Linked DNA regions of Caenorhabditis elegans. The protein of the gene in region 2 purifies or fractionates together with the protein of the main gene of each other region. This does not show direct contact. Each region holds a gene or a part of one and is shown on either strand. Other genes may lie near its edges.

Evidence for each region.
Region 1: the proteins of slc-25A21 (region 2) and F13C5.3 fractionate together in Caenorhabditis elegans (co-fractionation; one large-scale study listed by BioGRID). This does not show direct contact.

Annotation. Positions count from the first base shown.
Region 1 is NC_003284.9:595,584-601,094, forward strand, and holds F13C5.3 (Peptidase_M13 domain-containing protein), read right to left. Parts: upstream 3,994-5,511; 5' UTR 3,953-3,993; coding exon 3,859-3,952; intron 3,797-3,858; coding exon 3,679-3,796; coding exon of another isoform or gene 3,675-3,678; intron 3,376-3,674; coding exon 3,216-3,375; intron 2,826-3,215; exon of another isoform or gene 2,713-2,825; intron 2,515-2,712; coding exon 2,375-2,514; intron 2,328-2,374; coding exon 2,182-2,327; intron 1,641-2,181; coding exon 1,519-1,640; intron 1,461-1,518; coding exon 1,326-1,460; intron 1,283-1,325; coding exon 1,122-1,282; intron 879-1,121; coding exon 731-878; 3' UTR 645-730; downstream 1-644. Other genes in the region: F13C5.2 (Bromo domain-containing protein), read left to right, coding at 17-204.
Region 2 is NC_003284.9:16,188,219-16,195,619, forward strand, and holds slc-25A21 (Mitochondrial 2-oxodicarboxylate carrier), read left to right. Parts: upstream 1-1,637; 5' UTR 1,638-1,651; coding exon 1,652-1,703; intron 1,704-2,635; coding exon 2,636-2,769; intron 2,770-3,253; coding exon 3,254-3,361; intron 3,362-4,596; coding exon 4,597-4,707; intron 4,708-4,793; coding exon 4,794-4,958; intron 4,959-5,733; coding exon 5,734-5,918; intron 5,919-6,571; coding exon 6,572-6,686; 3' UTR 6,687-6,789; downstream 6,790-7,401.

The sequences.
Region 1 (5,511 bases), about 16 Mb from region 2:
AACATTTCATTTGCAGCAACATCAGCTCCAGTCGCCAAGCATCCAGAAGCCGCGATGCCAGAGCCAGCTGCCGAGCATTCCTCAATTCAGTCATCCGAAGCTCAAGCTCTGGGAGAAATTTCAGGAGCACACCCGATACACATCGGCGAGTCGGAGATTGCCGGACATGCCGCAGACTCCACTACGGGAGAGAGTCATGCCTAGGCACAAATTCAACTTCAGAAATGCTGTTGGGAATACAGTATACTGATAAAAACGAATTCAAAACAGTAATCATCTTTTATTTCACACTAAAACCATGTCAACTGATTCCCAGCCGCTTTTTGTAAACAATTTTCAACTTGGACCAATGTATGCATCTCTTAAATACCCACCCACTCATTTAGAGATTATTCCTAAAGTATTCCAATTTGTCATGCAGTTCCTTCAGTTGTAAGAAACATTATCCCGATACTTCTTTTTGTATTATGAATCTCAATCGACCCTTATGAATTTATTTGACAATTAATGCTTTTTCAGCGTTTCCCTTTCCACCCTATTCCTCATTTTATACCTCAATTTGGTCCACCAAACTTTTCCAATCGGAAATCATTCCCCCACTCACAAAATAAATGAGCACAAATCAGCAATATAGTACTATATAAAAATTTATCTCCAATCTGTATTTTGAATCAAATGTTCAAAAAAATAAATTACATCAAAATAAATATTTTTTTTCAATTCTTGTTAATCAGTCAATTGGTGGCTTCAATGTCATGAAAAATTGATCAAATGGGAAAAGTTCCTGATTGTGCACATGAATGGCTAATGTAAATTGTTGATCCAACAATGATGACCAGAGATTTTTTGCTTTAGTGTCCAGGTTTTGCTTGACATCGCTGAAAATAATTTAGAATATTAATTAAAGGAATGAGCGGATGCGTTTTGCAAATCTACGAAAAAATTTGTAATTTTTAAATTTATTCGGAAATTTGCCGGAATTGAAAAGTTTTGGCAAATCGGCAAATCGGCAAACCAGCATGTTGCTGATTTGCCAAATTCGTCGACAAAAAAATTTGCCGTCCACTCCTGGTTATGATATCAATAAAATTTCAAAACCTTTAAATCTTTGACGAGCTTACATAATTTTGGTTGCAGTTTTACGTTTCATTTTTTCAAATGTAAAGTAAGGCTTGGATTTTTGAAAAGCAATGAGTGAGTATCTGGGATGAACTGTGTTGATTAATGCATTCTCCTTCACGTAACTGTATGTTTCAGTTTTTGGATTAAATGTTGCATTTTTCTGAAAACTATACTTTTTCTTCGATTGTTCGAACAGCTCTCACCATGTAATCATATGTGCAAATATCTTTATGACACGTGTCCAATACCTTCAGCGGAGCATCACTGAGCTCATCGGATATTGCTTCAACCGCTTGTGGAGCATGACTGGGTGATGTCACCAAAATTCGTGACTTTATCTGAAAGTTGAGTGGAGTTGCAGTAAATAGCAATTTAAAACTTGTGAAATTATTCTACCCCAAATGCCAATGTACTGAAGGTGTGTCCACGGCTGTCTGAAAGCTTGATGTGTTTTCTGAGCCGTCCATATGCTACAGCAAGTTCTTCAAACGTGTCATTTTTTAGATTCAGTGGGTTACCTGCAACTTTATAGCTGTTGAGAATTGCAGCATTTTCAAACAATTGTTTTCTTTTAACTGAAAGTCAAATTTGCTTTGACGATGTAACTTAAATGTTTTAAAGGCGTCGTAGTGGAATTTTTTTATATTGCTTCATTAGACTCGAAATTGTCTGAAAACACTGAACTTCATGATGAAACTTCTTGAAAACTTCTCAAACAAAAGTTATGGCGGCTCAAAAAATTAGCTAAAATTAGCTAAAATATGAAATTTAACTAACTTGTCAACGTCGCAGCGGCTGGAAACTAATTTTTTTGAATTTACCGTCTAATTTTGTTTCCAGAATTAATATCAGGTAGAATAAAGTTTAGCTTACAAATTAAAACACAAATTACCTTCAGTTTTAAAGTCAAATTTAATTTACTCACTAACAATAAGAACATGTAAATTCATAATTTCATCAATACAAACAAAATTTTTTTAAAAAAGAATCTAAAACCTTTTTCCTTCAACTCGACCAAAAAAATTTAGCTAAAAATTTTTATTGGCATGTTGAACTCACCAGCAATATTTTTTGTTGAAATTGCATGTTTTCTCAACTCGTCTTCAAGTTTTTCGTTTACAAATTGCCCAAATCTAATTGTAAATATCTCAGTAATTTTCTGTACATCTCTTGTTATCAGACTACGCCCGGAAGTTGCCCAATGTCTGTAAAAAAGATATACTCCTTCTATCAAAATCATTGTTCAGCTCACGTGTTTTGTCGCTTTAGTATCACTTGTTTCAACCTGAATCTAGTTCTAGTGAAAGCCATTCCAAAGACGAGATATTGGTCCAGGACTCGGGCACATGAAAATTTCATGATATTCATCCACCCATACATTCCTTTGTCGTACTGAAACAATGACAATTGTGGAGGTGGACCGAGATGATGTCATACTAGAGTCGAAAAATATGTCGAAAATTCCTACTGTTTTTTTTTTTTGAACGGCTTTAATTTGTGATCCAATTTATCACTATCAGATTTGCCGGAAATGTCCTTTATAAAACATAAACTCGTAAAGCTTTGCTTTTTTGAATTTTTTTCCCGTTAAAAAAATGTGCAAAACCAGAAGTTGCCCAATTTTTGGCAATTGCCGTTTTTCCGGCAAATTCGGCAAATTGCCAATGTGCCGACTTGACGGAAAAACTGTTGGCCGCCCATCTCTGACTTGAACGTTTAGGAAGTAATTTTTCCGGTAGGGCTGAGTCATGAGCAATTTGTCTCAATGTTTTGGCATTTTACACTGCTCATAGAGTGATATTATTGCATGTCGCTTAAAAATATCCTTACTCCTTGTTAAAAATAGTTGTTTTCCTAATTTCGTAGTACTTTCTATTATAATTTTATCGTACAAAACAAAAACAATAGAACAACTATTTTTAATAGACTTCAAAATTCATAATTTGTTTTTTTTAATTCTAGGTATTACAAATATTTTTAACTAAATTGCGCATTTGAAAAAAATCACTTTAAAATTTTTTCTGCATGTTGTTTTTTTTTAAGTATTTGCAATTTACTTTTTCTTTCAATTTTACTCCTTCTCCAAAACATACCTTAAAATCATGTTCACTAAACGAGCCAAACTTCAATAGTGCACAATTTGCAAATTCCTCACGGATTTCATTGATAGGCATCCAGGGTTTGTTTTTTAATGTTCCTAACTGATCTTCCATTCGTATTTTCGTATAATTTTCAAGTTGAGATTTATGAAGACTGAAAGTTGAATCTCATTACTAGTCTTACACTCTACACTGAAAATAGTTAAACTATACGGCTTTGTTTGCACAGATTTCAAAAACTTTACGTAATTAAGTCTTTGCTTAAATGTTGCGTGGGCTTGTTAGTTTCAGTGTGAAAAATTTTTTGGACATATTTTTTTGGACCTGCAAAGGACAGTCAAAAATTTTCTCCTCAACAATGTTTGCCAAAACCGCACGATTTTGACCTTCTTTTTAAAAAATGTGAGTATTCTTCAAATTTCTAAATAAAACTGTTGAATATTTTATCAGAACTTACATTCCAACCTTGAAAAAAGTGTCATTACTAGTATCCTGAAAAGGAACATATCGTTCAGCAGAGTGATCGGCTCGTCTTAGAAAAGAAGTATAGTTGAACTCGGATTTCAGAAAACTTGCTGTAAAAAACTCAACTTATCTAATATTTACTTTGCAAAACGTTTTCGTTACTGTAACTTACCGTACATAGCATCTTTGTACACTTTGTCGAAATTTATTTTTTTGGAACATGAAATTTGAAATAAGAAAACTAGGATTAACCGGCAAAATATCATAATACAGAGGGATTAGGAACGGATTTCTCCGATGACGGTGTGGTTTTATACGAATGCCACTGGACAAACACCTTGCCCCGCTCGCACTTTGTTTGAATCTGGTTCCTGAAGCTTGAAATTGCTGTTTTGACACTCTTTGCTCAGTCTTAGGGAATTGAGACAGTGAACCGTATGGAGATAATTATTCGGAATCTTTTGAGGTATCTTAAACAATTATGTTAATCAGTTAAAAATAATTAAACTTCCGAATCTCTGTGAATTTATTTTAATGGTGGAGTAGCGCCAGTGAGGAAGTGTAAAAAACTCTTTCTATAATCTCAAAATGACCAAATATCATAATTAAACTTCTCAAAAAAGTTTTGAAAATATTTTAGTTACGGTCAAAATGTGACAATTACTCAGTTTTTACCCCTCGTAATTTTGGAAGTCGACCAAAAAAATTTTTTTCCTACTTTTTTTATACTGTAATTTTGTTTTTAACGTTTGTCATCAAACATTGTAAGGGTCGGATCATGTGCTATTGCTTTGGATTTCCTCAAAAACTATTTTTTTAAATTTTGGCAATTTGCCAAAACTGTAACCAGAGATTATAAAAATCTGGAATTTTTTTGAGTGTTCTATTATAAAATTCGGTCGTTTTAGATCTTTATAAGTGTATTTAGACAAAATCATCATTACCGCTACTCAATCTTTAAGTGTAAAGTTTTAGTGTCTCCACAGTAACCCAAACGTTTTCATCGGATGAACTCCCCGAAAAACCGTTCAAACCCTGAAAGTAATACTGCTATTTCAAAACTACAAAAGATAAAAATTTCAAAATTTCAATAGATTTAAAAATGTACATAATTGCCTGCATTTTTTGGGCAAAATGTTCGCTTTTCCAGTGTGCCAAATTTTACCGAGTCATTGCTTCTAAAAAAAAACGAAAAACTAACGAAAATTGAAAATTATATCAAGCTTACAATATTTAATTTCAAGAACACTGCCCAGTTTAAACATTTTCGATTGGCGCATACCAGGGATGTGTGGCAACCGAGATTTTCGGCAACCGGCAATTGCCGAAGTTGCCTAACTCTAAAAATTTCGGCAACCGGCAACTTTTCGACCACCGGCAACCTTTTGACATTCCATCTGGAACACGCAATTTTTGAAAATTTGCAAAATTGTTTGCAGAATTGTTAGCAAACTCCCATTTTTCAATACAACTTTTAATGAGCGTTTTCTATTTGTGCCACCTTTCTGTTTACATAAATGATTAGCACAATTACACACACACGTGAAAGTGTATGTTTCCAATTTCTGAATCAAAAATGTGTAGTCTGCAAACGGAAAAAGAACGAGTTGTGCAGCTTTTAAGTGTGGTCACAAGATTTTGTGGTCACATGAATATGTCATCATTCGATCTTTCAAAATTATTGTGATTGACTCTTTTTGCTCATTTTATGAAACTTATTTCATCATGTTATCCTCTTCATATTTGAATTTCGTAAAAAGCATTCCTCATATTTTCGGTTAGTATTGTTTTTGCTGCCGATTGCTTTGGTTAAATTTTAAATATA
Region 2 (7,401 bases):
TTGTGTGTGTATATGTGTTTTGTTTTGCATTCGACACACCGAAGGACCCAGTTGTCTTATTTTTGCTGTTTCATTGCATTCTGATGATGTTTACTAATATTTTTATAGTGTTTGGTCACTTTCCGTTTTTAGAAACTTTGATTTATTTTTGGAAGTGGCGAGAATGTTTTGAAATGTTGCATTTTTGAGTATGATCTTGTTGTGATATTTTGGAAAAGTTTGGAACATTAGGGGGCTTGATTTTGAAAATTTAAACGTTTATGGAGTTTGAACAAAATTGTTAGGTTTGTAGTTTATTACAGTGAGCTTTGATTTAAATTTTCCCCAATAATTTTTTAAAACGTGCAGAATTACAGTTTTATCAACACAAACAATTTAAACAACAGCTTTTTTATCAGTTAGTTTCTCTTCTTTTTTTTTGATTTTCCGTTTTGTTCGAACAGTTTATCGTTTATAAATTTTAAAATTTGCTTCTCAATTCATTTTAACGTAGGTAGTTTTTTTTTGTAATGTCATAACTTTGTTTTTTGTTGTAGGTTGTACTATGAAATTTGAAAAAGCAAAATTTGTAATTTCTCAGAAAATGAAGAGCAGCAGACATCGATTGAGGCCCGCGATTTGACTACATACACACGTGATGTCAGGCTGCCCCATTACGGTTTAATCTACAAAAAATGCGGAAGTTTTTTGATCAAAAAAATTTGACGTCAGCACGCTCAAAATGATTTGAGAAGTCTGCATCTTAATTCCCGCAATTTTCGGAGATCTGAGTAGATCAAACCGAAATAGGATACTTTGACACCACATGCATGCACAGTTAATTTGTAATTTGCGCATACTGTGTGCACAATGAACTTTTTGTGATTTATAACGGAACACTATGTGCAAATCGCAGAGTTTTGCGGGGCGTGATATGCGCATTGTGCTCCATGTGCAAATTCGTAAATGTACTGTAAAAAATAAAATGCGCAACCTATAACTTTAGGATTCAGTTTCATGTTTTCATCGTACTTTGCTTATTGATTATCGATAACCGATTAAATATTAAAGATCACAGATCAAACTAAATTATAAAATAAAAAAAACAAACTGTTTTCCATATACAACATTTTGTTGATTTTTGCACGTTCTTTTTTAACACAGTATCTGATTTATTTTTCCGTGTTTCTGTGTCTGCAATCAGCGCTCTATCAAAAAAGCGATTTGCAAAACCATTGAACGTTTTTTTGATTCTATCTGTTGGTTTTTCCAATCGACTGTTTTGAGTGAGAACGCAGCCGGCAACACGAGTCTCGGCATCTCGGCAGATGGGAAGAAGAGATAGGTGGTGGACCGTGTTGCAGTTTTCCTTCTCTTTTATTAACGGTTTCTTTGTGCTGCGTTTATCGATTTTTTTTACTTGAATTGGCTTTAAAAACTGCATGGTTTTTACTTGGCATCCCCTCCCCTAGTTTGAATATTACATGGATTTATTAGTGGTAATTTGAGATTTTTTCTTCTGGTTTTCTTTTTCCAATTCTTGTTTATAAACCTATATTTTTGAACTCATTAATTATTTTTAAAATTTAATCTCAACTGTTCTATGTTTTTCACTTTTTCACTTTTCCAATTTGATCCCAGAAATTCGTAACTTTCAGCTGACAAAAAACAAATGGAGAAACTAAAAGAAGGTGGCAGACAAATCACAGCTGGCGGGTCCGCAGGTAAGACCACATGCTTGTGAGGGTTCAATGGGAGAACAACAAATAGTTATTCTTGTCCTTGAATCAAAAAGCAAAGTGACCTCATGACTGGTTGCTCTTTTACTTGAAATTTTTGAAAATTAGAAATGATATGAGCTAGGGTTGTCTTAGGCCGTCCTCTGCACTTTCTGTGGGTTTTATTTGGTGTCGTTTTAACAAGAAACTTTAGCCTCAATTTTGACTCTAGATAGTATTTACCCAAATAATCAATTTTTCTTATTAAAATTAACGTATCAAGTTCGAGAACTTTGGTTTTAAAAAAATTTGGAAGGTGTTGAGGGCGTCCTACCTAACAGATCTAATATGAACAGTTTGAAATAATTTTTAAAAAAATGACCTGTCAAAGTACTTGTGTCATCAAAATTTTACATAGTTCAAGTACACCCAATAAAACCATATAAACGTTCTTTAAGCTTCCCGTAATAAAATCAAAAGTCTACTTTTCGAATAAATCACCCTACTACCATTGTAATTGTTCCAATTCTGTCACCACACCTTTAAGCAGTTTTTCATTGTAAAATCTTCTTGAAAATATCATCTGATCATTAGGTAACCACAAGCTTTTGTAATATAAAAAGTCAAAAATCAAATGATAGCGTCATCAAAAACAAATGTAACAATGAACACGATTTTTGAAAAACATGGGGGTCTTGAAAAAAGTTTGTGAAAAATCAAAAACTCAAACGTAGGAAAAAATGGACTGAGAAAAAAGTTACCTGCAAAAATTGATTTTTGCCCTTGTTTCCATCCGAACACACATCAAGCACAGCTTGTCCGCTAGACATTTATCAATCAAAATAACTAATCTTTGATTGGATACTATAATTTACTAAACCGTTTATTAAAAACAACAAACTACGCAACGAAAAAAAACAAAGTAATCTTCGTTTCAGGTCTCGTGGAAGTATGTCTTATGTACCCATTGGATGTTGTGAAGACGCGACTTCAACTTGGACAACAGGATAAGGGAATGATGGATTGTGTGGTGAAAACGTTGAAAAATGAAGGAATCGGAGGGTTTTACAAGGTTAATTTAAACTTGAAGAAACTAAGATTTCAAGAAATTTCACAGCAAATTCTAGTGTCTGTTTAAAAAAAATTAAAAAAAAAACGTTTTTAAAACCCTAGTTGAAGTGAAATCCTTTTCTGGTTAAGTGATGAAAATAAAAAAAAAACCTTCTTCAACGTTTTATACCAGGTCAGTGTGTCCCATTTGTTTTATCTACGTAGATCTACGAGAATTGCGGGAACTTAGACGCAGACTTCTCAACTGATTTCGCATGGTTAAAAACGTGCTGACGTCACTTTTTTTTCGGAAAAAAATTCCCGCATTTTTTGTAGATCAAACCGTATTGGGACAGCTTGACACCAGGTGTACCAGTAGAGCGCTTATGAGTTCAAAGTTCAAGTTAATCGAGCCGTAATTAAATTCACAAAAAACCAAGGAAGTTTTACAATGCAGTTTATTAAAACTCTATTATTTTTATACCATTCAAATCAGTTTTTTCCAGGGAATCCTGCCACCAATCCTTGCGGAAACACCAAAAAGAGCGACAAAATTCTTCACATTTGAGCAGTATAAAATTGCATTTACTCATTCGGAAATTCCTTTGCCTGTTGTAAGTTGATCTTTTAGCTTTTGAATGAAGAAACAAAGAAAGAAAGTTGTTTGTGCTTTGGTGCATGCTTCTCTCACGTTTAGTATTCGTGAGGTAAATTTTATTTTGGGAAATGTTTTTTTTGGAGTGGAGAAAGAAATAACTTTGTGAAAACTAAGGGGTGTGCATTGAAACTGCTATTTTATAATTCGATTTATGATACAAAAGATACAAAATGTTTTTAAAATGTTTTTTAAAAAATCTAAATCAAGTTTTAGAAATGTTGAAAAAGGAGGTGAAAAAACAAATAGCAAATCAAGAAAAAACTCAAGTCTCCAATAACGGTACTCCACTTTTAAATTTTTTTTTGCTATTTATCTTTAAAGGTGGAGTAGCGCCAGTGGGGATTTTGTCTAAATACACTTATAAAGATCCAAAATGACCAGATATCATAATAAAACACTGCAAAAATTTTAGATTTTTCATAATTTCCGATCAAAGGTTTGGCAAATTGCCAAATTTTTAAAAAATATGTGCTTTTGAGGAAATTCAAAGCAATGTTGCATGTTCCGACTTCTACAATGTTTTAATACGAATAATTAAAACAAAATTACAGTATAAGAAATGTAGAAAACCGATTTGTTTGGACGACTTCCAAAATTATTTTTTATTAGAATGGCAAAAACTGAGTAATTGTCACCTTTTGACAGTAAATAAAAAAAATTTCAAAAATTTTTTGAATAGTTTTATTATGATATTCGGTCATTTCGGCATCATAGGAGTGGTTTTTAACAAATTCCCCACGGGCGCTACTTTATCTTTAATAAGTTAGTGTTGATTGTTTTTTACATTCAGGTAAAAGTGATTTGAACTTTAGATGTTATAAGTTAGAACTTCAGAAAAAAAAAAATAGCTGTATTTATTAATGTTATAAAAAAAATTTTCATGGTTATTATAATATTTTATCATGAGTTCCTCTATGTGCAAAAATAGATTTCGAATTTTAATTCTGTTTACATGCGTGTTTTTATTTTTTTTTTAGGATTTGAACTTAAAGCCAAATTTGTAAACATACGTATTACATAAAAACGCGACAAACTCTATAATCATATTTATCATTTAACTACGCACGCTCTCCCTCGCAAAAATGTTTTCCTTATCAGCTTCCTTATCACTCAATGAGCGAACATTGACCGCGAATTATGACGTTATTGCGTTAAAAATGTCTAATCCTTGTTTTTAAATTCATCTTCCAGACAATGTCATTCGCCGGTCTCTTCTCGGGACTCACCGAGGCCATCGTTATCTGCCCGTTCGAGGTGGTAAAAGTGAGACTGCAAGCGGACAGAAATTCAAGCGTCAAAGAGGTAAACTTTGATTCTCGGGTCTTGTTCGTCGTCTGAGAGCGAGACACAAAACATGCAATGGAAATTATTAATCTTTGGTGTTCCAGCAAAGATCAACGGCGTCGATGGCAAGGGAGATTTATAGGAACGAAGGATTCGGAACCAGTGGACTTTACCGAGGATTGGGGGCCACACTGGGAAGACATGGTGCATGGAATATGGTCTATTTCGGGTTGTATCATAGTTGCAGAGAAGTTATTCCTGATGCCAAGGTAGGGTATGAATCACGGGTGGGCGGCAAAACGGCAATTGCCGTTCGGCAAATTGAATTTGATTTCCGGCAATTTGCCGGTTTGCCGATTTGCCGGAAATTTTTATTTTCGGCAAATTGCCAATTTGCCATTTGCCGAAAATGTTCAGAGGGATTTTTTATAAGACGGAAACTGTGCCTTTTTGAATTTTTCCGTTTTTCCTACATATTTTCATAGAGTTTACTTATTTTCAAAAATAGATGTAGAAATATTCATAAGACGCGTTTAATTTTGCCATTTGAAATTGAAATTCTGAAATTTGCAAAAAAAAATTTCGGCAAATCAGCAATTTGCGGATTTGTTGATTTGCCGGAAATTTCAATTCCGGCAATTTGCCGATTTGCCAAATTGTCGGAAAAAATCGTTTGCCGCCCACCTCTGGTATGAATCGATCAAAATTTTTATATAAATATTACGCATATTTTTTTGAAAAATTCTTTTCAACGTATTTATCAATTGAAAATTAATTTGAAGTGTTCTAAGTTGCTATGTATTAGTTTTGGTTGACATTTCACAGGTAAACGTTTTCATTCAAGCATTTTGCAAATGTAATTTGCATACGTTGGCGCTAAAAATTATTTATTTTTTGGTGGAGCTAATCCAATTATGTGTCTTCTGCAAGAGCACATAACTGTCAATTAAAATTTTTTTTAGAAAACCAAAAAAAACACAAGAAATTTCTTTCAAACTTCTGATTGCTTCCGGTTATTTTCCCCCCAAAGGTTTTTTTCTTCAGCAAAATCCAACATCAAACTTAATTGGAAGAATCGCCTTAGGATTCACCGCCGGATCGCTTGCTTCAATCTTCAACATTCCATTTGACGTAGCAAAGAGCCGGATCCAAGGCCCACAGCCGGACCCATTCACTAGGAAATACAGTGGAACAATGCAAACGATTTCTTTGGTTTACAAGGAGGAAGGGTACGTTTTGTAATGGGGACGAGCGTAGAAATTTTGAAGAAGTTGAGAAAATGTATTGAAAATTTGGAAATCGGCAAAACGGTCCAACTTCATAAAATACTCCTGCAGCTTCTTAGAGACCGTGGAACAGTTTAGCTTTTTTACAAATTCTTGTAGTTTTAAGACGATTTTTGAAATTTCTTCGCAAGAATTTAAGCTAAATTTTGCTCAAAAATGCGTTGATTTCTGCAAGTTCCTAACAGTTTTGACAAAGTTTTATAAATGTTCTTGTCAAGTTGCAGGAGTTTTTTACGAAGTTGCGACGCAAAACCATAGAACTGTTACTCCCTTTTTTGCACGTGGTGTCATAGTGTCTCATTTCGGTTTGATCTACGTAGATCTACAAAAAATTCCGCCAGAACAGACGCAGAGTTCTCAACTGAGTTTGCATGATTAAGAACATGCTGACGTCATTTTTTTGAACAAAAAATTCCAGCATTTTTTGGAGACCAACCTGACACCACGTGTTTTTGCTCACAATGCCACAAGTTTTTTGAGAACATTGTGGAATACGTAGCACTTCAGTAAACTTCTGGGGTTTTTATATAAAACTTTCATATGATAATATCAATCAGTCTTATATGAACTAGTGTTCTAAAATGCCTAAATTCCAGATTCGGTGCTCTGTACAAAGGACTTCTTCCCAAAGTGATGAGACTAGGACCTGGTGGAGCTGTTATGCTGATTGTCTACGACGAAGTTTACTCTTGGCTCCAGAAAAATACCTAAACTTTTAAATCATCTTTTCCGCAAATGTGACTGAACTTTATTCCACATATTTTTGTATCGAGTATCAAAAACTGACAAGTACAATAAAGCGAATTGAGAGGGTAACTGGCTGTTATCGGCAAATCATTGACAAGAGTAAATGGGATAAAGGAAATTGAAAACGTTTCTAATACGAACATGCTAGCAGAATGATGAATTGGATAGGAAAATAATGATAAGGTCGAGAGAATTGAATAGTTTGAATTGAACAACAAAAAATGGGTTGCAGTATCAGGAAGATATGCAAGGGGTACAATTGAAATGATACACCAGGATTATAATAAATTATGAAGAATTTTCGAAAATTTTAAAGCAGAAATACAGGTATATATGTAGATTAAGAATATTGTTTTGCAAGTGCATTGATATAAATAAGAAATTGTGTCATTGAATGAAATTGTAGTTATTATTTGATAAATATTGCTCAATTATTGAGCCAAGCGCTAGAAGGTACCGTCAAACGTTTTGGAAACCAAGTGTTGGATATTAGAGCCCAATTGCTATTTGAAAAGGTAATAAACGAGATAATGAATGCTCAAACTGATGTTAGTAATTTTATGGTGGAAAGAAAATGAATAAAGTTGGAGGGTTAGTTGGTTTTTGAAATTAATTGAATTAATGAGAAATCCTATAGTTTTTGGTACACAACTGGCATGAACAAGTTGTAAACGGAGCT